Coturnix japonica: one gene and its partners. The protein of the gene in region 6 interacts with the protein of the main gene of each other region in a pairwise test. Links are inferred from orthologs where the notes say so. Each region holds a gene or a part of one and is shown on either strand. Other genes may lie near its edges. The genes, in order: NAB2, CARD9, MEOX1, TRIM54, MTUS2, CWF19L2 and TRIM37.

What was found.
Region 1: the proteins of CWF19L2 (region 6) and NAB2 interact in binary tests that used the Homo sapiens proteins (3 or more experiments, as listed by UniProt). The two-hybrid records come from large-scale screens. The link is inferred for Coturnix japonica from reciprocal best matches to the Homo sapiens genes CWF19L2 and NAB2.
Region 2: the proteins of CWF19L2 (region 6) and CARD9 interact in binary tests that used the Homo sapiens proteins (3 or more experiments, as listed by UniProt). The two-hybrid records come from large-scale screens. The link is inferred for Coturnix japonica from reciprocal best matches to the Homo sapiens genes CWF19L2 and CARD9.
Region 3: the proteins of CWF19L2 (region 6) and MEOX1 interact in binary tests that used the Homo sapiens proteins (3 or more experiments, as listed by UniProt). The two-hybrid records come from large-scale screens. The link is inferred for Coturnix japonica from reciprocal best matches to the Homo sapiens genes CWF19L2 and MEOX1.
Region 4: the proteins of CWF19L2 (region 6) and TRIM54 interact in binary tests that used the Homo sapiens proteins (3 or more experiments, as listed by UniProt). The two-hybrid records come from large-scale screens. The link is inferred for Coturnix japonica from reciprocal best matches to the Homo sapiens genes CWF19L2 and TRIM54.
Region 5: the proteins of CWF19L2 (region 6) and MTUS2 interact in binary tests that used the Homo sapiens proteins (3 or more experiments, as listed by UniProt). The two-hybrid records come from large-scale screens. The link is inferred for Coturnix japonica from reciprocal best matches to the Homo sapiens genes CWF19L2 and MTUS2.
Region 7: the proteins of CWF19L2 (region 6) and TRIM37 interact in binary tests that used the Homo sapiens proteins (3 or more experiments, as listed by UniProt). The two-hybrid records come from large-scale screens. The link is inferred for Coturnix japonica from reciprocal best matches to the Homo sapiens genes CWF19L2 and TRIM37.

Annotation. Positions count from the first base shown.
Region 1 is NC_029544.1:1,653,891-1,657,932, forward strand, and holds the start of NAB2 (NGFI-A-binding protein 2), read right to left. Parts: upstream 2,801-4,042; 5' UTR 1,992-2,800; intron 1,434-1,991; 5' UTR 1,426-1,433; coding exon 640-1,425; intron 555-639; coding exon 421-554; intron 30-420; coding exon 1-29. Other genes in the region: NEMP1 (nuclear envelope integral membrane protein 1), read left to right, coding at 3,527-3,593. UniProt on the Homo sapiens protein: Acts as a transcriptional repressor for zinc finger transcription factors EGR1 and EGR2. Isoform 2 lacks repression ability.
Region 2 is NC_029532.1:6,405,231-6,407,914, reverse strand, and holds part of CARD9 (caspase recruitment domain-containing protein 9), read right to left. Parts: intron 2,431-2,684; coding exon 2,251-2,430; intron 2,077-2,250; coding exon 1,927-2,076; intron 1,476-1,926; coding exon 1,350-1,475; intron 1,235-1,349; coding exon 1,043-1,234; intron 551-1,042; coding exon 509-550; intron 173-508; exon of another isoform or gene 1-172. UniProt on the Homo sapiens protein: Adapter protein that plays a key role in innate immune response against fungi by forming signaling complexes downstream of C-type lectin receptors.
Region 3 is NC_029542.1:2,906,934-2,911,199, forward strand, and holds the start of MEOX1 (homeobox protein MOX-1), read left to right. Parts: upstream 1-1,466; 5' UTR 1,467-1,729; coding exon 1,730-2,156; intron 2,157-4,266. UniProt on the Homo sapiens protein: Mesodermal transcription factor that plays a key role in somitogenesis and is specifically required for sclerotome development. Required for maintenance of the sclerotome polarity and formation of the cranio-cervical joints.
Region 4 is NC_029518.1:95,417,684-95,421,626, reverse strand, and holds the start of TRIM54 (tripartite motif-containing protein 54), read left to right. Parts: upstream 1-1,143; 5' UTR 1,144-1,210; coding exon 1,211-1,378; intron 1,379-1,518; coding exon 1,519-1,691; intron 1,692-2,084; coding exon 2,085-2,256; intron 2,257-2,350; coding exon 2,351-2,446; intron 2,447-2,690; coding exon 2,691-2,924; intron 2,925-3,010; coding exon 3,011-3,033; intron 3,034-3,187; coding exon 3,188-3,312; intron 3,313-3,395; coding exon 3,396-3,488; intron 3,489-3,627; coding exon 3,628-3,666; intron 3,667-3,943. Other genes in the region: DNAJC5G (dnaJ homolog subfamily C member 5G), read left to right, coding at 113-257, 496-578. UniProt on the Homo sapiens protein: May bind and stabilize microtubules during myotubes formation.
Region 5 is NC_029516.1:157,080,212-157,083,711, forward strand, and holds part of MTUS2 (microtubule-associated tumor suppressor candidate 2), read right to left. Parts: intron 2,148-3,500; 5' UTR 1,844-2,147; coding exon 1-1,843. UniProt on the Homo sapiens protein: Binds microtubules. Together with MAPRE1 may target the microtubule depolymerase KIF2C to the plus-end of microtubules. May regulate the dynamics of microtubules at their growing distal tip.
Region 6 is NC_029516.1:161,551,275-161,554,774, reverse strand, and holds part of CWF19L2 (CWF19-like protein 2), read right to left. Parts: intron 2,994-3,500; coding exon 2,878-2,993; intron 1,312-2,877; coding exon 614-1,311; intron 1-613.
Region 7 is NC_029534.1:5,943,805-5,947,776, forward strand, and holds the start of TRIM37 (E3 ubiquitin-protein ligase TRIM37), read right to left. Parts: upstream 2,801-3,972; 5' UTR 2,608-2,800; coding exon 2,587-2,607; intron 2,365-2,586; coding exon 2,263-2,364; intron 1,095-2,262; coding exon 1,054-1,094; intron 557-1,053; coding exon 440-556; intron 1-439. Other genes in the region: SKA2 (spindle and kinetochore-associated protein 2), read right to left, coding at 3,339-3,465, 3,549-3,681. UniProt on the Homo sapiens protein: E3 ubiquitin-protein ligase required to prevent centriole reduplication. Probably acts by ubiquitinating positive regulators of centriole reduplication.

The DNA of each region.
Region 1 (4,042 bases), on a different chromosome or scaffold from region 6:
CGCCGGCCCCGCCGTCCTCGGGCTGCGCCCTGTGCGGGTGGGAGCACAAAGGGCTGCGTCAGTGCGGGGGCAGCACCGCACGGTTCCCCCCCCCCACTCACGTTATGGGGCGGTGCTGTGGGGCACAGCGGGGTCTGGTACAGATGGAACCGGGGCGGGGGGGGCAGGGGGAGGGAGCAGAGCAGCGCCAGCTTATGGAGGTGGGGGGGGGGAAAGGAGCTCGGGACTGGGGGCTCCAACAGCATCCCCTGTGCTGTGCCCCCCCCCCCAACACACACACATTGAGGCACCAAACTGCCTCAGCAATGGAAAGGGGAACTCGCAGCCCCCACCCCCGCCCGGAATTGCCGGTGGTGCAGCTCCCATAGGGGAAACCCCCACTGGGGGGGGGGGGGGATGCTGAGGGCCCCCCCTGCTCACCTGGACACCTTGAGCGAGGACAGGTAGGTGCTCTCCCTCGCGACCTGTCGCGACAGCGAGAACAGCTCGACGCGCCGCAGCAGCAGCGAATTGTCCCGCAGGCAGAACTGAGCCGCAGCCTCGTTAATGATGAGCTGCGGGGACAGAGCCGTCAATAGCACCGAGGGGGGGGGTCACAGCGAGCCCCCAGCCCAGCCCGACCCCCACCCCGCCCCCCACCTCGTGCAGTGTCAGCTGTTTGCCCTCCCTTCGCCGCGCATCCCCTCGCCCGTAGATCGCGCTGTGCCGTCGGATCTCCTCCTCCTTGTGCCGGTCTCCGTCTTCCAGTTGGAAGATGTGCCCCACGGCTTTGGCCAACTTCTTATTGAGCTTCAACAGAGCCCGCAGCTCCGCGTCCCCCCCCCGGGGGCAGCTCTGCAGCAGCCTCTCCACGCTCTCCGTCACCGTCCGCACCAACTCCGGTTCCAACACATCGCCCCCCGACGGCTGCTCGGCGCCCCCCGGTGAGAACGGAGGAGCTCCGGGCTCCTCATCCCCTCCACCCTCCGATTCCGGGGTGCTCCTCCCCGGCCACGGCGACACCCCCGACGGCGACAACTTCTCCGACGGCTCCGTTGGGCTGCGGGCTGGGGGCGTCCCCGCGTTGCCCCCCCCTTTCCCCGCAGTTTCTCCGGGGCTGCTGTGCCCGTTACTGAGCGATTTGCGGCCGTCGTTCAGCTTGAAGAGGGGGATGCTGCTGACGGGCACGGCCGGTACCGGCTGGCTGAAGAGCCCCGGGTTGGACGCCCACTCCCGCAGCGCTTTCTGCAGTCGGCGGACGTGCAGCGGTTTGGTGGCCATTCCCACCAGCGCCATGATCTCTAAGAACTCCTCCTCGCCAGCCTCGCAAAGCTGCTGCACGTCGTCCCCTCCTTGTTGGATGAAGGTCTCGTAGTAACCCAGCAGGTTGGCACGTTGAAGAACCCGGTACAGCTGCAGCTCCCCCAGCGTGCGGGGCACGGCCATGGTGAAGCCTATGGGACAGACGGACGGACGGCGTGACGGGGGAAGGACGGACGGACGGACCCCCCCCACCCCCACCCACCTTTTGGCCTGGGGTCTCCACTGAGCATCCACAGCTGCACCGACCCCAACACAAACACGAGTGGGTCCCCATTGAGGAGCTTGGAGACCCCACACCCCGTGGCCCCACCCGTGCTCCCACCCCATGGGGCACCGCTTAGGGCAGAGCACACCCAGGGCTGCCCCAGTCCTTCTCTACCCCACGGGGACAGCAAAGTCTCAGCCCCCCCCTCTTTGGCCCCTACAGACCCCACCTTGCACCCAGGCCCACGCGTGCTCACTGATCAGGCTGGACCCCACACCCGCATCCCCCCTGATCCCAACACAGACACGAGTGGGTCCCCACGGCAGAACCATAAACCCCCCCCCACCATTCCCACATCACGAACCCACTCGTGCCCCCACCCCACGTGCAACAAAACACACCCAGCTCTACCCCAACCCCACGGGGACACCGATGTCACGACTCACCCTCCGACCCCCCCCCCGTTTCCCTCCCGTTCTCTCACCGCGGGCTGCAGCCCCGTCCGGCCGCTACGCGAACCCCGTGGGCATGGACGGACGGTACCGGGGGGCTCGGGGGGGTGTTCGGGGGTCCCGATTCCGGGCCGTGCTCGTTCGCTCCGCCGAGTCGCTCCGCTCTGCGCGCCGCCCACACGGGCGGTACCGAGAAATAGCAGCGGCCCCGGCTGCGGCTGCGGCGTGGGAGGCTCCGGAGGCGGAACCCGCGGCTGCCGCCCCCGCTGAGCGCGGCGTGGGAGGATGAAACGGGGGGGGGGGAACCGTAGGACCGCCCCATCCCCCCCCCTGAACCGAACCGGGACGGAGGGAGCGGCTGCGAGCAGGGCGGAACCGGGGGGTCCCGTCGGGCAGAGCAACGTGAAGACACGGGGGTTGGGGGTCCCGGGCAGGGGCTCGAGCAACCGGAGCCTACGGGGGGTGGGGGGGGGACACCGTATGTGAGTGGGATCACGGCTGTCACCGTGTCGGTGCCACCTCCCGGTTATGGGATCGCAGCCGGGTCCGGGCACCGGGTGGGGGGGGGGCTTCAGAGCGAGCAGCCCCGGGACAGAGCGGGTCCGGTTCGGTTCGTGGGAGGGGAGGAATTTCTCTGCCATCGCCCCCCCCCCCCCATGCTGAGCCCGGCTCTATTTATACCGAGCCGGCGCCGCCGCCCCCGCGGCCCCTGCCCCGCGTGGGGGGGGGGGACACGACAGCGCCGCGTTCCGGAGCCGTCGGGGGGAGGTGGGGGGGGGTCCCGTTCGGAACAGCCCATATAGAGCCCATATAGAGCCCATATATTCCGAACCCCATATAGACCCCATCTATGTCCGAATCCCTAAGACCCCCCCCCCAGGGCCATGCATGTCCAACCCCCCCCCCCCCCTCGTGTCCGGCCGCCCCCGTTTGACGCACATCCTCCACCACGACCCGCACGCTTCCGGCTCCGCCGCCCACTGACCCGGGGGCCGGCCCGTGAGCCCGACCCGCCCACGGAATGCCGAAGAGCCCAAGGGTATTGGGGGGGGGGGGTTAACAAGCCCGGGATCCAGCCCCTACGAGCCACCCCCCCCCCAGTGTGGGGTCCAATGAGCATCGCGCTGCCTCTGCCCGCTGTAGACCCCCCCCCCCAAGCAAAACAACGACGGTGCGCTCCGTGAATAAGGTGGAGGAGCTTGTCAATCAAGCCGGCTTGGTGGCGAGGGAGGGAGAAAACGATGCTGAGCGGCTGATTGGTTGAGGTGGGCTTGCTCTGTCCAAGCTCGTTGCTAAGGCGGGCTGCGTTGCCTACGGTGTGGGATGGCTTCGGGAGCGAGTGGAGCACGTTGGTGGAGTGTGGGTGGGGCTAAATCCGCATCCTGCCTAGGCTGTGCTGATAGGTCGAGCGCGCTGTCAATCAACACGCAGGGAGACGATAATCCCGTCACGGGTTGATGACGTCAGGCAAGCCTCGCTCTCTCATTGGGTGTTGTCCCGTGGGGAAAGCGGAAGCGGAAGTCGCCGGGAACGCCATGGCGGGAAAGCGGATGAAAGCGGTGCCAATATGGCGGGCGGGGCCTGGTCGTGTTTCTTGCTGCTCCTCGCGCTGCCTCCTCCGCCGGGCGGGGCCGGTGAGCGGCGGGCGGAACAATGGGCCTTTATGGGCTGAGAGCGGGCGGGCCTAGTGGGGGCCTATAATGGAGTCATAGAGCGGCCATAGCCTGGATCCGGCTTTAGAGTCTCGGGTGGGGATGGCGGGGGGTTGGGGTCTCCGGGTTTGGGGGCCTGGTCCGGTGTAAGGGCTCTGGTTGTGGGCTGGGGGAATGCGGTGGAGATGGGGGGTGGTGGGGGTCCCCGGGTGAGGGCGGGACTGGGGGGAACCAGGGGGATGGGAGATGGAGAATGGAGATGGAAGATGGGGGGGGGGAGTGAGTATGGTCCGGGTTGGGGTCTGTGTGGGGCTGGGGGAAACGGGGGGGAAATGGATGAGATGGGGGAGAGGGGTTGGGGGTCTCGGGTTGAGGGCTGTCTGGGTTAAGGGCGGTGTGAGATGGGGGGATGGAGAGTGCGAGAATGGGGG
Region 2 (2,684 bases), on a different chromosome or scaffold from region 6:
CATATAACCGACCTTCCCCCACTGCATCTTGCTGTAAGCAAAACAGGAAACATTCTGAACTAGAAGCTGTGTATCTACACACAGACTTATCCTCCATGACTATGGGCTCATTCATTTTGTCTCCAGACAATGTGACAACCCCTACCACAGTTATGAACTAAGCTGGAAAAAACCAAAACCCTCTTTTCTACGCATGTTCTCAGGATAATACTTATTTTTGCACATTCTCTCATAAGAGAGAGATTAGAAGCAATGCAAAATAATTTGAATCTTCTGGTCTGCTTGGACTTAAATCTTATCACAGCTGCATCCCCATGGTCAGAAGTCTCAGGACATAAGGAGAAGCCACCCTTAGCTGTTAGCCTGCTTTGCTGCCTCAGGACTTGATGTCACTGCTGTGAGCCTGACCCATGGAGCACAGACTGCTGCTTCTTTGGGAATTAGCGCAACTGAGGAAGCTGAAACCATCCCAGGAGAAAATGAAACATAAACAAGGCACCCTACTCACATCCTGGGAATCTCTGGAGGAGGTGTCATCCAGGTCAGAAGTCTGAAATAAAACCAGTAAGTTTGTTACTCCTCATGAGTGAATAAATGGCTGCAATGGAACACAGAGGACATCAAAAGCTCCAGAAGATAGAAATGTGAACTAACTTCCTCCTACACTCATCTGACCATTTGGAGAAAGCACATAAGATGCCACAATAATTACAAGTCTTCAGATGTCTCATTTAATTCCATGAACTCTCATACCCTGCTCCTATTTCACCCAAATGGCTTGTACAGACTCCAGAGTTCACTCTTTAGTGGGTGACAATGCCTTTATGGTGTCTGGAAGCACTCCAAATGTGTAAGGCTTCAGCAGACCAGGGTGAGCTCCTAAGAACCATCACGTCTTCACAGAAATAAATGGTTACCCAAGCAGGTGGCCACTGCTTGCTGAAATCGGATTGGTTAGGTCTCAGTGTCTCAAAGCAGTCTTATTTGGATCCTAGACTCAACACTTTCCAACTCATCACACACAATAACCCCACAAACATACCAGTGCAGGCAGCTCCAGTTGCAGCCTTTTCAGCTTGGTTTCAGTAGCCAGTAGCTGACTCTCCTTTTGGAAGAGTTGCAGCTGCAGCTCATCGCATCGCTCCCCCAGCTCCCGAATCTGCTTCCGATAAGCATCCCTCTCAATCAGGTTCTTTGAGTACTGCATGTAGAACTGTTCTCTGGTCAGCAGTGCCTGGTGTAAGAGGCAACGTGTTGTAGCACGACACCACATTCAGGGTTACAATACCTGCCTGCTTCAAGCAGCAAGCCAGGGATTAGCAGCAGCTTCTGGAGGAACGTTTTATCACCTGGTCTCTTTCTGAAGCCACTTCCTCCATCTGCTGTAAGACAGCATCCATCCGTTTTCTATACATCTGGGAGTCCTTCCTCAGAGACATGCACTGTAGTTCAAGTATCTCTTTTTCCTCTGCATACTGTTGAGACATGGCTTGTGGGGTGAGCCCAAGCTAGAATCTCATCACTTCTGCTCTATATCACAGATTGCTATAGCCAGACTTCCCTGCAACACCAAAGCCAGACTGCCCTGCCGGAGCAAAGCCAACCAGAAGACCAGGCAGTATGACTAGAAAGCCTGCTAACATGGCAGATTTTACATGTACCTGAGCTGTCAATCATGATATAAGCTCCCATCACCCTGCAGGCTGAGGCACAGGCATCAACAGGTAACACAGTTAATGTCACAGACTCAGACCACTAGAATATTAGCACATCTTTTCCCTCAAACTGCAACACAGACCCTAGAATAGAAGCATCAGCGAATGCTGCCTCGCAGCTCTGCTGCTTCACTGGTAAGACACTTTATGTGCTTAATCTGCCCATCTGACCCCACTGAGCCCCAGCAGGGATTTGTACTGCACCACACACTTTGTCTCGGAGCACCTCGGCTTGGCGCAGCTCCTTGCGGAGGTGGTACAGGGTGTTCAGCAGGTCCCTGCGCTCCAGTATCTGGCTGCAGTCATTCTGCACAGTCTCACGGGAGAGATTCTTCTCCAAATTCTGTTCTCTGGCAACCTGCTGAACAAAAGATACAGCAACCATCTAACTCTGAAATCCAACGTGCTCTCTGTACAACTTGGGAGAACAAGGCCATAGCTGACCCTCAAAACACTCAGTACAGCTCCATCGCTGTGCTGGCTGCATAGAAGAATAATTTCTTTAGATTCCTCACCCAGTCACCCCCCCACCAACCTGGAGAGTGTTCTCCAGCTCCTGATTCTTGGCCAAAAGCAACTCCTTCTCCTGCTGGATCTCCCACATCACTTCATGGCTCGGACGCTGTTCTATGGCGTGCTTCAGTTTCATTGAGTGTTTACGCTCTAGTTTGCAGTCATCCTCAGCCTTCATGAGGCTATGCTTCAAGCTGTCAATCTACAAGGAGGTTCAGAGCTCATCAGTAACAGACACAAAAGCCTGGTTGCAAAAGCAGTGCTCTCGTGGCAGAGTTCCCCATTTATCAGGCAAGCATGGTGCAAGCTTTTCCCCAGCTCTATGTTCCTTAGGAAGTCTGGTGTTCTGGGGAGCTGAGACTTTGTGCTAAATGGGTACAACAGGCTGGTTCTACATTGCCCTTGTGAGAAGGCCCAGCCTCAAACAAGGGGAAGACTCGATTCTTCATGGCACAG
Region 3 (4,266 bases), on a different chromosome or scaffold from region 6:
CCCCAGCATGACTTCGGTGGGTGAACACAAGTGAAATATTCTGCATTGACAAAACCACTCTAGGCTATACCATGGACCCTTCTGGTGCCCAAAATATCCACACATCCTTTGCCACCTGGCCTTCCAGACAGAGCAATCTGTTCTTTTTCCTCCTGCCAGGCAGTGGGAAACGTGTCTGAATGTTTGCTCTCTGAACAGATTGAATTATGTAGGAGAGCCCTTCCTGGAGGATGATTTGTGTTTGGCATTTTGCAAGAGAGTCACATTAATGTGAAGGTAAAAGGTGATGTTCTTGATCAGAAAGATCTGGGCTAAGCCCACCTGATTGCTTGGAAAAGCCCAAGCTATAACCCAGCAGGGATTGGGATGAGCAGACTTCTCCCTCCATTTGATTCCTTTAAATGTCACAACTCTGAATTATACAGAAGCCAAATAAAAGTAGCACTTAAAGCACTTAAAGAAAGAAAAACGGAGGCTCTGTGCCCATCTGATAAATCCCTCTGTGTCTACGAGAGCACAAACTCAGCCCAAATGGTGGGATAAAGGGAAAGAGGCGCACACCTATAGGGAGGCATAGCAAAGCAATGGAGCAGGTCGCAAGCAGATTACAGAAACACAGCACATGTGGCTGTATAAATTACCCCTAAAAACACACAAACAGTTGCAGTAACCCCAGTGCAGCCCTGCAGTGATATTTGGGGTGTTCCCAGGTGCCAACCCTCTGTGTCAGAGGGATGGAGAGCAGATTCCCTGCTAACACCCATGCAGCAGCAGCGGCAGCTCCGGGGTCTGCGAATCTGCTTTGTGTTAAGAAGAACCATAAAACTTTCAGCAAAAGATGAAAAACACGTCTCACATTGGCACAAAGGCAGATTTCCTTGTAGGAAGGAGTGGCATAAAGTAGGATAGAGAAAGAATAACTGCCACCAGCAGTAACCATCAGCAAATACAAGTGTTACCGAGCTAAAAGAACAATAATCCCTCCAAAACTTTGCACGTGCACAAAAGTCACCTAAAACAAAACGTTACAACCAGGCCTTAAATCAGTAAATAATCAGTGAAGTGCTTTCTTACTTTTATTTCCCACTTCGCTTCTTGGCTTCAGGAATCTGCTGAATTCCGTATGAAGGGCTTTTTCCAACCTCAAAACTCGGGGAATTTTGTTAACAGTGCAATAAAAATAACTTCATAGTGTCACAGGGAAACATTAAAGCCCTTTTTTGTGCACTGCTCTTCCCTCCCCCCTACCCCTTTTTTTCTTTTTTGGGGGGGAAGAAAAAAATACAGACATTGTTTCTTTAAAAGTCTCCATCTGCAAATCCCATTAGATGTGCATATAAGGTTTCGGATGATTAATAGGTGCTGCTTTGCTTTGGTTGGAGGGAGCGGGTGTGTGTACGTTAACCCCTCCCTCCCCTCTCTCACATTTCACTTCACAAAGTTGTCACTCTCTCCCCAACATAGTATTTAAAAAGTGTTTCCCTCATGTCCAGCACTTCACAAGGACTCCAGCATCAGCTTTGGGACTCTGTTTGGGGCGATCGCCTCCTCCATCCATTTGGGACAATGAACACCTCAAGAAGAGTTTCCAAACTAACAAACCTCCAACCTCACAAACCCCCCAGCCAAAGTGTCGTTTAGGGAGGAAATCTGGGCTGTCAAATCTGGAAACATTTCCCCTCCTCTCCTCTCCTGCTTGAGGAACCTGAGTGACGAGCGTGGGACGAGGATGAACCCCACCGGAGGCAGCTGCATGCGCAGCCCCCAGTCCCCAGCCCCACTCTGGGGGTGCCTGCGGGGTGCCGACGTCCCCACAGCCCCAGGGTTGGGTCACTGCCCCCCAGCCCCTTTCTCCTTCCACCCCAAGGTGGATTTTGCTGCTTATTCTGAATTCTCAGCCTCCTGCTTGCTGAGCTCTGCCCACTGCGTCCCACCTGAGGAGCAGCCCCCAGCTTTCCGTCCTCACTCTGAGTGGCAGCAAGCAACAACAGAGGCCAGGAGACTGCTGAGCCCAGGGCTGGTGTTGGCCTCTGGGGACACAGAGAGCCCCAACGTCGTGAGCACAGCAGCGGGTGTAAGTGAAGATTACGAGGTGCCAGTAAACAGCACGATGGAGACAGAGAGAAAAGGATCCAAAAGGAAAAAGGAGCACTCAGGTAGGTGGCGTGGAAGTGGGGGTGTGGGGTGGGATGGGGAGAATATCTCATGGAGTAAAGCTGATGGAGGAAATATTTTGTGATTCTTGACTAGGGAAAACTATGCAATATCTCAATGGAAATGAAGTTGCTTGTCCCTTGATGACCTTTGGTGTTTGAGTTTTGCTCCTTATTGGCTGAACCCAACCCTTTAGGCAGCAGCTCAGTGCCAACTCAGTGCCATGCTGCGCTCAGAGCCCTAGGATGGCAGATCCATCCCACTGCTCTGCTGCAGTCCAAGGGTGATAGAATGGGGATCAAAGGGCTAAGGTCCCATCAGCTGCCCGTGCTAGCTGGGAATGCCACTCTGGGGTTTTGAACTGCCCACCAGTAGAATGCCCAGCAACATGGGAAACAATCAGTTTTCATTGTGCCATCCTTGCCAACAAAGCACCTTCTTCCTGAAGCATTCAGGAATTACAGACATAAGACATCTGGTTTGTTACTATTTCAGTTCTCCCGATATGTGAAATATGCAGAACATTGCTTTCTCCTAAGGAAGCTGTTAAGATTCAGATGCTTCCATGCAGACATTTTCTACAGTATTCATTTGCAAACCACAGAGTATTGAGAAGCAGAGGGTATTTTCCAGCATCCCCATTTTATGGTTTCAGAGCCAAGACATGGAAATGTTTCTAAGATGTAGAAAAGATCAAAATGCACTTAAATCCTCAAAACTTTCTTTAAAGAACCAATAGATTCAGAGCAGCTACAGAACGGTTTCACTGTGTGATAGTAATAGGAGTATCTGCAGTAAGACCTCACGTGTGAGCACACACATCCCCTTCTCTTCCTCTACCAGTGTTCATTATTTAGATGCCATTTTCAGCCCTGGTGTCCCAGGCACAGCAGTGACCTGAAGATGTCAGTTGGCTTTGGGGGAGCTTTCACAGCTGCCCCTGTGCCTGCCACCCTCTATTCTATGCTGTACAATTTAGCAAAGCATTTATAGAAACCCCTTTGCAATTACAGCATTAAAGAGGCTGAAAGGTGTTGTAATGACTTTGGGCTTCATACATCTTTCATTTACTACCAAGGAAAGACCTAACAACACCACTCAAGCAGCAAGGAAATTCCAAGCCCTAACCCTAAACTAAATTAGCCTTTAAAAGCATAAGATAAGCACTGAAAGTTCTGGGATGCCCACTGGGTGGAGGTTGAGTCTAAAGAAACGCCTCCCTCTGATTTCACACGTTGAATGTTGTTGAGAATGGCCAACTGCAGACAGGCAGTTTGGATACCCCAACTTTAGCTGATGATTAAGGCATGAGCTGAAGGATAAGACAGCAAGAAATAGGCATTGCTGTAATGATGTGTAGTAACATAGTGATTCTGACAACTTTGCTAAGTCATGCCTTTGGGTAAAGAGGGTGCTTCATGCTTTCAGGTCCCATTAACAGCCACAATGGCATAGAAAGCAGAACATAAGGGCAGGTAGAAACTGAAAACCTGAGCAAGAAAAGTGTAGGGAAGTCCCTCAGCAATTTAAAGTGATCTGGGGGCAGAGCTCCATCTGTCACCACCCCGTGTGCTCCACTCCATGAGGTGCCCACTGAAGTTACTTGTGGTTATTACTTTATCGCTGGCTGCCAAATGAATCAGCTCCCCATGAAGTCACTTCACTTGGCCAACGTTCCCAAGAGCTTTCAGGATTTTATGCCCCGTGTGACAGCAAAATCCATCTTACTACTTGATTTGCAATAAATCTGCCCTCAAACTCTTTACTAGGGGGAGAAAGCAACGTTATGCAGATACTTTGGATTTTTATTATGCCTTCTGCTGAGGGAAAAACTGCACTGACAGTGGTTTGCAGAATAACAAGCACCAGGTGCCTCCACCAGGGCTGTGGATCACCACAATGACCAAACAACCTGTGTTACCATTGGTGACCCCCATGCTTGAGCTTAAGCTGCTCTGAGGGATCGGAGAACCCCCTGAAATGCCCAAATCCTGCATTGTGTGGTCCTTTCACCTTCCCCAAAGCAGTTTGCCAGCTAAGCCTCTCTGCCATACATCTCCTTTCAACACCAAGTGGGGCACTGCCTGCTCTGTTCCCAGAGGCTATTTCAGA
Region 4 (3,943 bases), on a different chromosome or scaffold from region 6:
GAGCAGCCCCATGGGTCTCATGGCAATCCCAAGCTCTTAGGGCATATTGGGGGTCTCGGGGAAGCCTCGGGGGTCTCTGGGAAGCCTCAGGCTGTGACATCCCATCCCGCAGGCCCTGGCGCTGTGCTGTGGTTTGCTGACCTGCTGCTGCTGTTTTTGCTGCTGCTTCTTCTGCTGCGGGAAGTGCTGCCCACCCCGCGAGGACGAGTCCTATAAGTACGTCGACCCCAAGGACCTGGAGGCGGACGATGGTGGCGGTGAGTTGGGGTCCAAAATGGTGACCCCCCCCACGATGCTCCCGGCTCACAGAGACCTGCAGGGGGGGCTGCACCGGGCTCGGGGGCTGGTGGGACACGTGGGTTGGGGGCTCTCTCGGTTTCCTTAACAGAGGAACAGAGACATGAGGGCCGTGCTGGTGCCAGGGGCAGCCCCGGATCGCTGCCAGGACCCCAGGACTCCCTCCTGGTTCCACTGACCCACACATTTTCTTTCCAGACCCACAGGTCCCGGTGGAAGCGCAGCCCCCCGCAAGCAACGCCCAGCCCCTGCCTGCTGCCGGAGCCAGGAGCGAGGCATAGGGCCACCTATGTGCCGGAGGGGGGTGGGGGGTAAAGCCTCCTCCGGGACCACCGCCGCTTCCCAAGACCCCATCGTGGGGTGGGGAGGGGGGTGTACAATCTCAGGTGAAACCGTCCTACAGCGCTGTGACTGAGACCGGTAGCACTGTAACCCCGGGGCCGGACCCCCCTGACGGGAGCTGGGTGCCAAACGCTGCTCTGGGGCTGGTATGGGGGGGGAGGAGGAGGGGTCGGAGAGGGGCCTCCCGTCGCGCCCCACTCTGCCTCGCCGTGGGGCCGCACCGCGCTCGTTATGGGGCTGGGACCCTTCAGGCACTTTCCGTGGGTTTGTATATGTTATATGGGCACCATTAAAGGATGATGGGGGGGAGCTCGGCGGTGTCGCTCTCTCGTCTCGGAGCGGCGGCTGTGGAGCCGGGCTGGGGGGGGGCAGCGCCGTGCCGCTCCCGGGGGGCGTCGGGACGGAGTGACCCCGGCGGTGGGACGGCCGCCCGCCGTGACTCAGTGTCACCCGACGCCGCCGACAGCTGCGCGGCCCCGACGGGGCGGGGGCGGCTAAAATTAGCGCTGCGGGGCCGGAGCGGGGCAGTGAGGGGCCGGAGCGGTACCGGAGAGGTACCGGGACCGCGGCGATGAACTTCGCCGTGGGGCTGAAGCCGCTGCTGGCGGAAGCGCGAAGCATGGAGAGCCTGGAGAAGCAGCTACTGTGCCCCATCTGCCTGGAGATGTTCAGCAAGCCTGTGGTCATCCTGCCCTGCCAGCATAACCTCTGCCGCAAGTGTGCCAACGACATCTTCCAGGTGCGGGGCGCAGGGACCGGGCTGTGCCCGGGGTTGGGGGCTCCGTACACGGGAGGAGGGGGGATCTCTGTCTCGGAGCGGTTCGCTAACCCCTCCTTCCCCCCCTGCCCTGCTCTCTCCTTTCCCCCCTGCCCCCCCAGGCCTCCAACCCGCTGTGGCAGTCCCGGGGTTCCGGCGCGGGGCCGTCCGGGGGCCGGTTCCGCTGCCCTACGTGTCGCCATGAGGTCCTGCTGGACCGGCACGGTGTGTACGGGCTGCAGAGGAACCTGCTGGTGGAGAACATCATCGACATCTACAAGCAGGAGTCGGCGCGGTGCGGGGCGGGACACGCGTGGGAGGGAGCCCGTGGGGATGGGGGGGGGGTGATTGGGGCTAAAGGGGCTCAAGGGCACCGTGGGGTGAGGTGGGGCGGGGGATGCCGTGGCTTGTGTGGTATGGAGGGCTGTGCAGGGGACACGAGGGGGAATGAGCCTGGGTGGGGGGGTATTGGGGCTAAACTTGTGGGGCTGGGGGTGCAGTGAGGCGGGGGATGCTACGGGGCAGAGGTGTGCCGTGCCGTGGGGCCGTGCCGTGGGGCCGTGCCGTGTGCCGTGCCGTGGGGCCGTGCCGTGGGGCCGTGCCGTGGGGCCGTGCCGTGGGGCCGTGCCGTGGGGCCGTGCCGTGGGGCCGTGCCGTGGGGCGCAGCGCCCTCTCCCTCCCGTCGCAGCCCCCTGCACGCCAAGGCGGAGCAGCAGCTGATGTGCAAGGATCATGAGGATGAGAGGATCAACATCTACTGCGTCACCTGCGAGGTCCCCACCTGCTCCATGTGCAAGGTCTTCGGTGCTCACAAGGACTGCGAAGTCGCCCCTCTGCAGAGCATCTTCCAGGGCCAGAAGGTGGGTGACCCCCAGAGCCGGGGGGGGGGTCAATGGAGCGGGCGCGGTGGGAGGGGTTTCCCGGTGCGACCCCCGACGCCGCTCCGCCCCCCAGAGCGAGCTGAACAACTGCATTTCCATGCTAGTAGCGGGGAACGACCGCATCCAGACCATCATTTCCCAGCTGGAAGATTCCTGCCGCAGCACTGAGGTGGGGCTGCCCTGTGTGTGCCTTCCCCCCCACACCCCCCCCCCAGGCCCCGCGTGTGGGGTCTGCGTGGTTCGGGACCCCCACCCGGTGTATTGTGCCCACATGGTGGGATGCTCCTGGGAGGGAAATCCCCACTGCAGCCATGGAACGCGGGTGTCCCCAGGGCACAGTGACACAGGGGTGTCCTGTGGGGCCGGGCTGGGAGCGTGGCAGCCCCCTGAGCCCCCGGGGGGGGATCCTACAGGAGAACGGCCGGCGGCAGAAGCAGCACGTGGGGCTGCGCTTCGACTCGCTCTGCAGCATCCTGGAGGAGCGCAAGAAGGAGCTGCTGCAGAGCATCGCCCGCGAGCAGGAGGGGAAGGTGCAGCGCGTGCGCGGCCTCATCCGACAGTACGGGGACCACCTGGAGGCCTCCTCCAAGCTGGTGGAGACGGCCATCCAGGCCATGGAGGAACCTCAGATGGCCGTGTACCTGCAGGTGCCTGGGGGGGGCTGTGTGCGGGGCGCCCTGCGGCTTGGTGCGCTGCTCCTGGGATGCTGACGGCACTCTGCTTTCCCCCACAGCACTCCAAGGAGCTCCTGAAGAAGTGAGTGGGGTAGGGTGAGATGGGATGGGATGGGATGGGATGGGATGGGATGGGATGGGATGGGATGGGATGGGATGGGATGGGGAGGGGGATGAGATGAGGATGGCATGGGGGGGTGGGTGGGCAGGGCTGATGCTGCTTGCTGTACCCCCAGGATCACAGACATGTCCAAGGTGTCGATGAGCAGCCGCCCTGAGCCCGGCTATGAGAGCATGGACCACTTCTCCATCAATGTGGACCATGTGGCTGAGATGCTGCGCACCATCGACTTCCAGCCAGGTGCCAGCATGGGGCGGGCGCTGCCTTGGGGAGGGGACTGCAGCAGGGATGTCCTCACACTGAGATGTGCCTCTGCCCCACAGAAGCGCTGGGTGAGGATGATGGAGATGGACCCACAGACAGCAGTGAAGGTGCAGGGGATGAGGAGAGCCTGGAGGCACCTGAGGCTGCTGAAGGTGAGAGTGTGTTGTGCTGTGCCGTGCTATGCTGTGCCGCAGTCACCACGGTGCTGCCGTGGCTGCGGCGTGGCCATGTACGGTGCATGGTCTCACCATGTGTCCCTCTCTCCACCTGTCCAATGCTTTTTCTCTACAGATGTGGGGCCAAGGCAGAAGCCATTGAGCTCTCCCCATGGTGAGATGCTCTGTGGGGATGAGCAGGGTGTAGGGATGGGATGGGGATGGGATAGAGATGGAGTGGCAGGGGATGGGATGAGGATGGGTGGGGATGGGGTGAGGATGAATGGGGATGAGGATGGGTGGGGAGGGGGGGAGTGAGGATGGGGATATGACAGGGATGGGATGGGGATGGGGTAGCAGGAGATGGGGTGAGGATGAGTGGGGAGGGAGGAAGTGAGGATGGGGATAGGATAGGGATGGGGTGGCAGGGGATGGGGTGAGGATGAGGAGAG
Region 5 (3,500 bases), about 4.5 Mb from region 6:
TCTTCATAGGCACTTTGGGGGATATGTTCATCATCTGCGTACTGTCAGCATGAGGTAGGACTGAGGAGGGTGACAGTTTGTCAATGGGAAGTGCATATAGGTCCTTCAAATTACTGTTTGATAGTGTGGGCTGACTGTTAACATCCAGCACTGCCACCGGGCGCATATGAGTTGGAACACATAAAAAAGTGTCAGCCTTTGCCGAAACCTTATAGCTCTCTTGTGCTTCATCTGGAGGATGTTTCTGGGCAGGGATTGTCTTTTTACTTGGAACCACGAAGGTTTCCACGTCACTGACATGGTCGTCAGGCTGTTGGTTTGACACTGTCTCTGTGCTGCACACTCTGTCATGCTCAGAGAGATCAGAAGCAGGCAAGGCAGCTTCCTCAGTGCTTCCTTCGACCAGCATCAGTTTATCCTCATTAACTTGCAAGGGTTTGCTATCAGGAAGATACACATTTTGTATGTGAGATACCTGTTCACCAACTGTTTCAGCACAGCCTGCATCATCTTCATGTAAATTTTTGTTTTTAATAGGTGTCACTTTGCTACTGGAATTACCATCACAGGTGAGTGGGAATATTGTTTCCACTTCTCTGTCTTCCTCACTAAGCTGGGTAGCTGCCCCACTGTCACTGTCATGTCCTTCTCTTCCTTCCCCGTGGATGGTGAAGTTATCACTTTGCAGTCTGTCATCAGAAGAGGTTACAACCTGATTTGACACAGGATCCTCTGCTTTATCACAGATGTCTTGAAAATGGGATGTTTGAAATGTTGATGCGTCAGAGCCAGACTCCTTCTGTTCTTTTACTGTTGTACTTCCATCTTTTTTACATCCCAGAAACTCTACCACCATAATTCTCTCAGTCTTTTGTTGACATGTGTTTTTAGATTGTAGGGATGTCACAGCCTTAAGCTCCAGCTTCTTACTTTTATCACCCTGACTTAATTGTGCTTCTGATTTACTAGCAATCTCACTGGGCTTAACAGCTGAATGATGATGGGTATGAGAAGTATGCAGTGTGCTTTCGGTGTTAACATTTGGTACGTTTTCTGGTTTACTTATTTTCTTGTTCCCTGAGGTAGATGGTTTGGAATAAAAGACAGTATTTTCCTCTGAGGTATTGTCGAGTGGATGAAACACCATCCCAAGAAAATGATCTGTGGAAGTTTTTTGTGATTTCTCTGTATTTCCAATCAAATGGTGCGACCTGTCAATGGAATCCAATGATGCGGAAAGCAGACGTTTACAAGACACACGGCCAACACATTCTTTTGTAAGTGTTTCAGATTGAGGAGAAAATTTACTGGGTCTGCCCAAAGAGAGCCTTTTTATTCTTTCCATCTCCACAGTCCTGGACATTTTACCCTTAGGAAAATTCTGGGTGAAGTCAACATCACCTTTAGAAATGATCTCCAGGTTAGCATCATTTGTGCTGCTTTTTAAACTGGACAGACTTTGTCCTCGGCTCATCCTGATATGCCTTGCTATATCCTTAACTTCACTGGCCCTGCTGTCCTTCCCTATTTCCCTGCTTGTGGTTGAAGGCAGCTTACTTTCTTGTATACCAGTGTTACAGGTCCGAGAGTCTCTGAGCACCAGTTTATTCTGTTCTGTATCCAGACAAGTAACTCTCTCCGATCCTCCAGAGTGTACATTTCCACCTTCATCTGTCAAACCCTGTTTCTTGATTTCCCCCTCCGTGGTTCTAATCTTTGTCATGATTTGGTTGGCATTGCTATCCCCCACGCTCACTGTGCTTTCATTATTATTTTTTATCTCACTGCGATTGTCCTGAAGCTGGGAATAACATGATTTGTTTGGGACTAATGGAGCACTCATTCTGAAGCTTCCAGTGACTGCCTTTTTGGCAGCCCTAGGTAATGAGAAAGCCTTTGTCCCCTATCAGATTAACAAACTATTATGCGTGCTTCAGTTTTAGGCTTAAATTACAAACTGATCAGTAAGAAATTCCTCAGCAGAAGGCTCGGAGTCTCTTGTCAAAGTCACATTTTTGTGCTGCTCAGTTGCCTCCAGTGCAGCTTCTGGATCCAGGAAATCCTTATGAATGCAGTAGAGAGGTTCAACGAAAGCAAAATAGATCTGTCAAGTTCCCTCTGAATGACAGCCAGTTAATCCAGCCAACCTATGAGAAAACAAAAAAAAATAGACTACGTTACATGAATATCATGAGTTATACTAACTAAAAATAAGGTTAAAAGTGGCAAATTTTCCAAAATGGAGAGCTTTCGGACAGTTCAGATTCTCTTTCAGCCACAGCTTTGCCCTCAGCAGAGCTTCCTAATGTAGCCCAGATCTCTGACTTGAGAAGACATAGTTAAAACTGTCCTGGTTAGAAGGCAAGTTGCTACTGACACATAGATTTAAAACTGTTGATTGCTGTAAGCAGCTAAGGACAGAACCCCACATCAAGGCTCTGAGCACTTTCATACTGCTATAAGATATTGACCTTTACTGCACCAAGAAATGCTACTGAAGTTTTTAAAGCACTACTGTAGAGACAAGATTAAGTATTAAAATTCCAGCTCTATTAGGGGGCATTGGTGGGTTTCTTCCTTTGTGCTGCACAAGTCACTGCTCTGCTTGTGCTCTGACTCATGCTGAGCTGCTGTCACCTGCACAGGGATGTGGATCCCTTCTGCTGAGCTGCTCTCCAGCCAGGGACTCAGCAGCATCTCCCAGTTTAGTACTATCAGGAAAATTGCTAAGGATACATCCAGATCACCAATTAAGATGTTGAGCAGAACTGGCCCTGGAACTGAGCCTGGGGAACACTGCCAGTGGCAGCTTCCAGCCAGATGCAGCTCCATTCACTGCAGCACTTTGAGCTGCAGCCAGTTCATCTCTCAGCACAACAAGATCCTGTTCATCTCACAGCTGGACAGTCTGTTCAGAAGGATGCTGTGAGAGATGGCATCAAAGCCTTACTAAAGTCCAGAAAGATTACATCCACTGATGCAATCAGATCCCCTTCATCCACTCAGCAGTGATGTTATAATACATAGAATTATATCAAATTACCAATTACCAGGCACAGTCAGTGTGGGCTCAAAGGAAAAGTCCTGCATTAGTAATTTGACAATTATCTGGGTCTTCTCTCATGCCCTTCTTGTAGGAGGGTATGATGGTGGCTAGCAGCCAGCTGGCAGGGACCTCCCCAGACTCCCAAGACCTTTGGTAAGTTGTTGGGAGGGATCCAGCTGTAACATCTGCTGGCTCCCTCAGTACTATGAAGTGAATCCATCAGGCCCGTGGACTGATGAATGATAAGCTGATACTTGCAATTTATTTTGGTGAATGGAAAGTTTTATTCCCCCAGTCATGATTCTTCAACTCAACGACTGGGTAGCATTAATATTACAAACTAAGGCAAAAAACCCCACACTATTAAATGCTTCTGTCTTTTCCTCATTCCCACGCATTAGGTGACCATCTTCACCTTATGTCCTCACTGTGCCTCAGATATCTCAGACCTGAC
Region 6 (3,500 bases):
AACCTGTGCAACACAAAGAACTGTGTAGACTCAGCCACTTGTCTTTAGTTAGTCACACAGTATTGCCTTAATGCACAATTTACCTTTGCAGATACACTGCAGGGTTTCTGAAAGTACTACGTGTAGGAACAGTTGTATGTTAAATAAAGAATTATAAGGTATTGTCTTGTTACTAGAATCCAACATTTAAACATTAAAAGTGAACCCATAACCTTGCTATAAGAACTTTTAATGCAAATAACTGATAGGAGCATTTGACAAACAAGGAATTATACTTGAGAACATTTTCTGACTAAACCCTGTCACCCCACACATGCAGACCATGAACAATCACACACAATTTTACTGTACAGTGAACTAACAAAGAAGCAGCAAAATAATCTGTAACTGGCAATTCTTAAATATGCCAAGGAGAAAGAGAGGTGTTCATTAATTCCACACAGGTCCATTTTGGCTGTGCCTAGCTGGGAGACAAGTGGACAAGTGTCCACCTAATCAAAGAGATCTGACATGGACAGACTGGATACTATGATAATAAAGACAACATTTTAGGTACGCTTTGCCATGAACAATACAGACAAACCAAAGGCAAGAAAAGGCGTTTGTAAAATACCTAGAACATGCTGTTACATTGTCAGACAACGTTTGTTTCTTCTCAGGGATACTGGCTGGGTACTCCTCTCGTGATTTCTCTTTGTCAAAACTTTGAGTTCTTTCACCATCATTTTTTGCTGCAGTATCTGATGGCTTCTGATCAGACATCGATCTTTCATGGTTACCTTGCGTGTGTGTTTTGTTCCACAACGGAGTATCCTCACTAGGTTTTTGGAAACGGTTGCTTAAAGAGCTATGTAGAGGTAGTTTTGAAGAAGACCCGTGTGACCTGTAGTCCCCAGATGCACTGTAGGATGACGGGTCATCATCAGAGGGTTTCAGAAATTTATGTTTTATGTCACTTAGAGACACACTCTTCTCTTTACTTCGCTTTTCATCCAAGTGTTTTTCTACTTTGGAGCTATAGCCTCTCAGTTCTGAGTCTCTACTGCTGTGTCCACGTTCTTGGTCCAAACTTGATCCATCTTTTTTGTAACCTCTGTCTTCTTGTGCCCATCCTTTGCCATACTTCTCCCTTGTATGTCCCCCAGACATGTGTCTACCATCTCCGTGTCGTGTCTCATCTTTCATACGATGTCCTTTCTTCTCATGTTCTGAGTAGTCAGGTTTTCTCCACCTACCACTTCTATAATCATTTTCCTTCTTGGGTGCAACTTTTTCAGCTTCTTCTAACCGTGACTGAAATGCCTCCATTGACTACAAGAAAGAACAAAAAAGATCATGCTGCTTTTAAACTTGTGGAATATTGTAAAGCTCCCTAAGAAATATTACAAAAAAGGCACCATTCTGTGAAAATGTATCACTGTGCAGAACCATGAGCCATGGAGTGGAAAGGAAGATCAAACAACAACAACAAAAAAAAAAGGATTAATAGTTTACAGTCTAAAGCGCTCCACAGGGAAGGCATTCTGATTCCTTATCTTAGACTGTTTCTAACTTTCATTCAGTGGCTCTACTGTAAAGTGCTGAACACTCCTGGGAACAGAAAGCACAGCTTTAGAACTGCTTCTTCCAGCTAACTCAGCGATAAGAGGCATGAGCTGGGAAGAAAGGTTTCTTCTTACCTGCTCATGGACTTAACATTTATGCTTACTGGATGTTCAGTTTTTACAGAACCAACGGATGCTCCCACTAAACTATTTTATCATCCAGTTGTACCCTTAAAAACACAGGAGAAAAAGCTCAAAATCAAAAACCTATCCATTAGCCAAATATACAAAATGTGAACTGTTCCTCTTCTTTCTTTGGAGCTGAGTTAAATGCCATTAAACACATGTTTTTCATAGAATGGCTTGGACTGGAAGGGATCTTAAAGATCCATCTAAAAACAGTACATACTGAGGCATACCTGGTTAAGATCTCTTTCAATCACTACCCTGTACCACAGCAGCTTGAGTGTTTGTGTGTTTAAATCCTAGTTTCTTGAAAAAGACTCTTAAAAATAATATTCCTTAAATTCACTGGCACCAACCGATTTCCACCAGTGCTGATGTTGCTGGTTTCATCATTCAGGAGCGACAAAACAACTGTATGAACTCACATGGTCTTACTCAAGATTTTCACAACCAAACCAAACCCAAAACCACACACACCACAAACACAGAACTCAAAAATAAAACTACAGCCAAGATTAAATACTATCAGCCCACACATCTGAATAGGCCTTAAAGAGCAATCTGATCTAGCTGTAGATGTTCCTGTTCATTTCAGGGGAGTTAGACTAGAGGACTTCTAAAGGTGCCTTCCAACTCAAATGATACAATAATTCTATGATTCTAATATTGTTATGGCAGACTTAATAAAGGAGTTTTTAAACTCTTCAGAAGCATACAGCTTTCTCAATACACAGGGACAAGAGACCAGAAGATTCAGATCTGGTAGTTCTCCAAATTACTTTGAAATTATTATTACCCACAAGCTGTATGAGCAGAAAAAAATTATATTTTCTAATAACTATCACAATTTTCTAATGCACTCAGGTACTTTGTAACTGAAATTATTTCAATATATGGGATTTAAAATCTAAATAATATTTATAATGTTTATAATATAATTTTATAGTATGTATAATATTAAACTAAAAAGATATTAAATGAATTTGGATAGCATTTAACTCTTCATCACTTCTTAAGAGGCTGCCTTTTCCTGCTTCTTTCCTACTGCTTCTTTCTGACACCACACATTAAGTATTTGTGCTTTTTACATGAAAGTAACCATTTCCAAGCACCTATTAGTATAAAAAAAATAATTGAAGATCCTTACCCCATATCTTTCAGCTACAATTTCCTCAATATTTCGTTTCTCTCTCTCAGCTTGCTCCTTCATTCTTTGATATGATTTTCGTAACCAACTTAAACCAGCATCTTCTACCACTGTAACTAAAATGGAAAATAACGAGAAGTCATAATTTTGTATTTCAGTAGTTACTTCTATTTAAATCTTGCTCTTTATGTGACATTAAACCTTCACCTGAAGTTAATGTAATAACTGGTGGGATGCAAAAGAAGAATAGAAGGAATATAATAATGCAATTACACATTTTTATAAGTTCAGTCAAGTGTACCTCAGTCATACTATTGATTAAGTTTCTCTTTTGTCACAGAACACAACATAAATCTTCCAATACAGAAGCAGCACACAAAAAGCTGTGGGATTTTTATAAATGAACTTACAGAACCTTCTCAGTGTTTCTACCTCCTATGTCTGTTCTTTGGCACATCTATCCAATACAAACAAGTGCATTTTCCTTCTCAGAAAATTGAAGAGGAATCCCTTGCTTCTCCTTTAAGAAGTTAGCATGAGGTCTTAACACTCAGGATATGTATCCACCAATGCCTGTCACCCTTCATAAAGCACTGATCCCTGCTACTCATACCAGCGTGCAT
Region 7 (3,972 bases), on a different chromosome or scaffold from region 6:
TCATCAAACCAGATTTAAGCCCAGCAGGTGGAGATTACTGCCACTGAATCAAGGTCAGTTCTATGCACAAGCACAGCCCAGGCAAACCTCCACCGTGTCTCTCCCTGCTCCTCCACCAAGCTTCAGGAATTGGAGAAGAAGGCACAGAACACACATTTAGTCTCTGCCCATTTTTCAATGCTTCTTCTCACATTTTCTCTCATGTAAGCTCTACTCATCCAAATGAGAAATTACAGAATTTAGGAGTTTTGTGTGCTATTGCAACAGAAATGAACTCCACCTTTCAGAGAGAACACTGATTACATCCATTAAGCAGTGGCACCATTCAGCTTTTCAATCAGACAACTAAGTTTGTTCCCTGACTTAAAATAAGAACACGATGAAACTCATTCCCATGCAGCAAACTGCAAACCCTTCACATGAGGAATGCTCTATTTACTTGTCTTTCTCGTTTTCTTCGTGCTTTGTGAGATTGCACAGTTGAAGGGTATCCAGCTGCTGCGTGACCTCCTCTGCCCAGCGACAGTTGACAAGCTCCCGGAGCTGCAGTGGGGCTCTGCAAGAAGCATTGCTAAGAGTTACAGCAAGAACTGTGCTCTGGGAGCTAGAAAAGCACAATGAGATGAGATCAGTTCGCCAAGTCCACGTCACTCAAAAAGTCAACAGTTGTTTCAGAAATACAGCAGTGCAATTGAAGCTGACTTGTTCTTACTGGAGGAAGGAAGATCAAACCAGCCCACAGCTATGCAGGGACACCAGAACTACCATTATGTTCAGGTATTCCTGGGTAACACTGGGAAAATACTTCATTTCTCAGCACTTCAATTCCGCCCATTATTCAGCTGTGCCTCTGTGAACACCTCCATAAAACACAGAAATACCACCTTATGAGCCTTTCTATTTAAACTATCGATTAAATACCTTAAAAGCTGAATATGAACTTCTGCAAAAATGACTGGCTGTTTTCTCAAACACCTCCCCTTCTTTAAGGGAAAATACCCCCCACCTTCCATTCACACAGGTAACACATTCCTGGCATTCAGAATCCCTTACCTACAATGAGGGCACTGAGCTCTTTGTTCTGTCAGCCAACGCTGGGGAGGAAAAAGGAAAAATATTGAAGAAACAGCAGGGAAAGAACTGCAAGCAAGAACAATCTGTTGTTATTTACGAGTTAATTCTTCCCATTAATTTTCTACTTTCCCTTCTGTAGAGATTGGAAATTGAAGCATTCAACCACTTGTTACAAAAGGAACTGCTGTCTGTGTCATAGAAACAGCTGCAGTCCTCGAATCTATCTGGTTCAAATGAAGGCAGGAATTCTGCAGCACCCAATGATCCAGCAGAAGCCGCATACAGACCTGGTGCAGGTTCCCAGAGCTACGGGCCAACAAACATATTGCAGCAAATAGATACCTCAAAGACCAGCTTACAAACAACTTATTTCCCCCTACTGGCCCACAAGTTGGACACCTACAGGCCAACAATCAAACCAATCACAGAATCACAGAATGACCCGGGTTGGAAGGGACCTCAAGGATCATGTAGTTCCAACCCCCTGCCTGGCAGGGCCACCAAACATACACCTTTACTAGATCAGGTTGCCCAGGAGACGCCATAGATCCCCATTGAGACCCCACAGACCCAATAGATCCCCATAGAGACCCCATAGACCCCATTGAGACCCCACAGACCCCATAGACCCCATAGAGACCCCATAGATCAGGTTGCCCATGGCCCTGTCCAACCTGGCCTTGAACACCTCCAAGGACGGGGCATCCACAACCTCCCTGTGCAGCCTGTTCCAGGGCCTCACCACTCTCCTAGTGAAGAACTTCCCCCTGACATCCAACCTAAATCTTCCCTCTTTTAACTTAAAACCATTTCCCCGTGTCCTGCTATTGTCAGCCCTTTCCAAGAGTTTACTCCCCTCCTGGGAGTAAGTTCCCTTCAGGTATTTAAAGGCTGCAATGAGGACCACTGGGGACCCTGTGGATGTTTCTCCTCCAGAAAGCTCCACACAAAGACAGACAGTTGAGGAACGAACATTGAAGGAAGGGTCACAACGCAGCTGTTCCTTAATAGGTCCTCGCACAGCCCCTGCAGTGAGGGCTGCTGAGCACAACACGCTGCTGGGAGCACTGCGCAGTGACACCGAGTGCTCACAGCACAAGGAGGGCCAGAAGGAACACACTGCATTGCCAAGAGCAGTTCCGAGCTGATAGAGTCGCAGCAGTTAGTGATAAGGAGGAGCACACTCACCCGAATGCAGCTGAAGCAGCACAGCTTGGAGCAGTGCGGGCACAGCCGCGCATCGCGCAGCTTCTCCATACAAATAAAACATCGGAACACTTCGGCGATGCTCTGGAAAAGGGCAGATCGGGGTTGTTGTCACCGCCTGCTTCACACACACACACACACAATTCACACACGCACAACGCCCAGCTCAGCAAACGCAGCGCCAGGCCCCGCACACCTCACAGCCGTGTAACGATGGGATCGTTCCTTGCACACACACACACACACACACACACCTGGGCCGCGCCCCTGAGGAAGCGCAACCGCCGCCCGCCGCTCAGCGCTCACCTCCACGCTCTGCTCGTCCATGGCCGCGGTTCTCCCGGAGGGACCGGGCTCCCCCCGCCGCTTTGCAGACCGCAGGGCCCTCGAGGGGCACAAGGCATAAGCGTGGAGCGCTCGGAGCGCTACGAGCCGCCGCCGCCAAGCAGCGCAACGCCGCCCCTCGCCCGGCCGGCCGCAGCCATAGTGGCGGCGATGGGGAGGAGCCGGCCGGCAACGAGCCCGCCCTGCGCAACGCACTGCGCACGCGCGGAGGGGCCGCGGGGCGGGATGAGGTGGAGGCGGGAACGGAGGGAACGGCCGCGGGGAGGCACGACGCCATGACGGTGTGGGAGAGGGGGGAACAGCTCTGCCGTCATGGCAACACAACCTGCTTCTGTTCGGTGCGAATCGACCACCCAAACGCAGCACTCACACACAGCACAGCAGTCAATCTGTGGACACACCGCTTTGCTTTCAGCGTTTATTCAGGAATGTGAGCTCAATGAAGTGGCCTGAGGTATTCCTGAGGTATTCCTGAGGTATTCCCAGGCTATTCCTCTTCAAAGCCCCGCTCAGGAACGCAAGCAATACCACAGCCTTGTAAACATCCACGTTCAAATGCCAACCTCAACAGGTTCCACTCTGCAGCTCTTTAAGTCCCAGAACCAGGATTAGTGCACAGATCTCACAGCCCCAGCAGCTCCCAGCCACCAACACCCAGCCAGTCACACAGGAGCTATGGCCGAGGCACAGTGTGTCACAGACCAGACCTTCCCTTACACGACCAATCTGACATTGCCTTGTTTGTCCAGCTCCACAATCCCCAGCTCTTTCAGGACTCGTATTCTCGTGTCAGTGACTTTCATGTTCATTTTCTTCATCTGGGAGATGCTCAGCGCCGCTCTGGAAGGCAAGAAGGAAGCGCTGAGCACGGCAGGACACAGAGCAGCAGCTCTGATGGGAAATGGTTAAAAAAAAGCACTTACCTGTTCTTATTTGTGACGAAGTGGTTAAATAGATGCCTGTACAAGTTGTTCAAGTCTGCTAATTTAACGGTGCTTCTGATACTCCTGGGCACACTCTGAAGGGTTTCTTCAGTCAGCGGTTTGAACTGCGACTCTGAAAGGTTACAAACAGAAGATAGTCGGTGCTTCAGAAATCAGGGCGAAGGAGGAGGAAACCTGCACTGCTCATGAACAAAGCTCCCAACGGGCTCAAGGAGGAAGGAGAGGAGGGAGATTCTCCCCCCAGACTGTTGTTATCACTACACACACAGTGAAACACAAGGAACTGATGATCTGATGTGGATGTGAGATGTGATGTGCATTAATAGACGTGCTCTGTCAGATACCAGTTGGACAAAACAACAACAAAGAACCAAGAATTAATTTCTGTGAAGGATAAATGGAT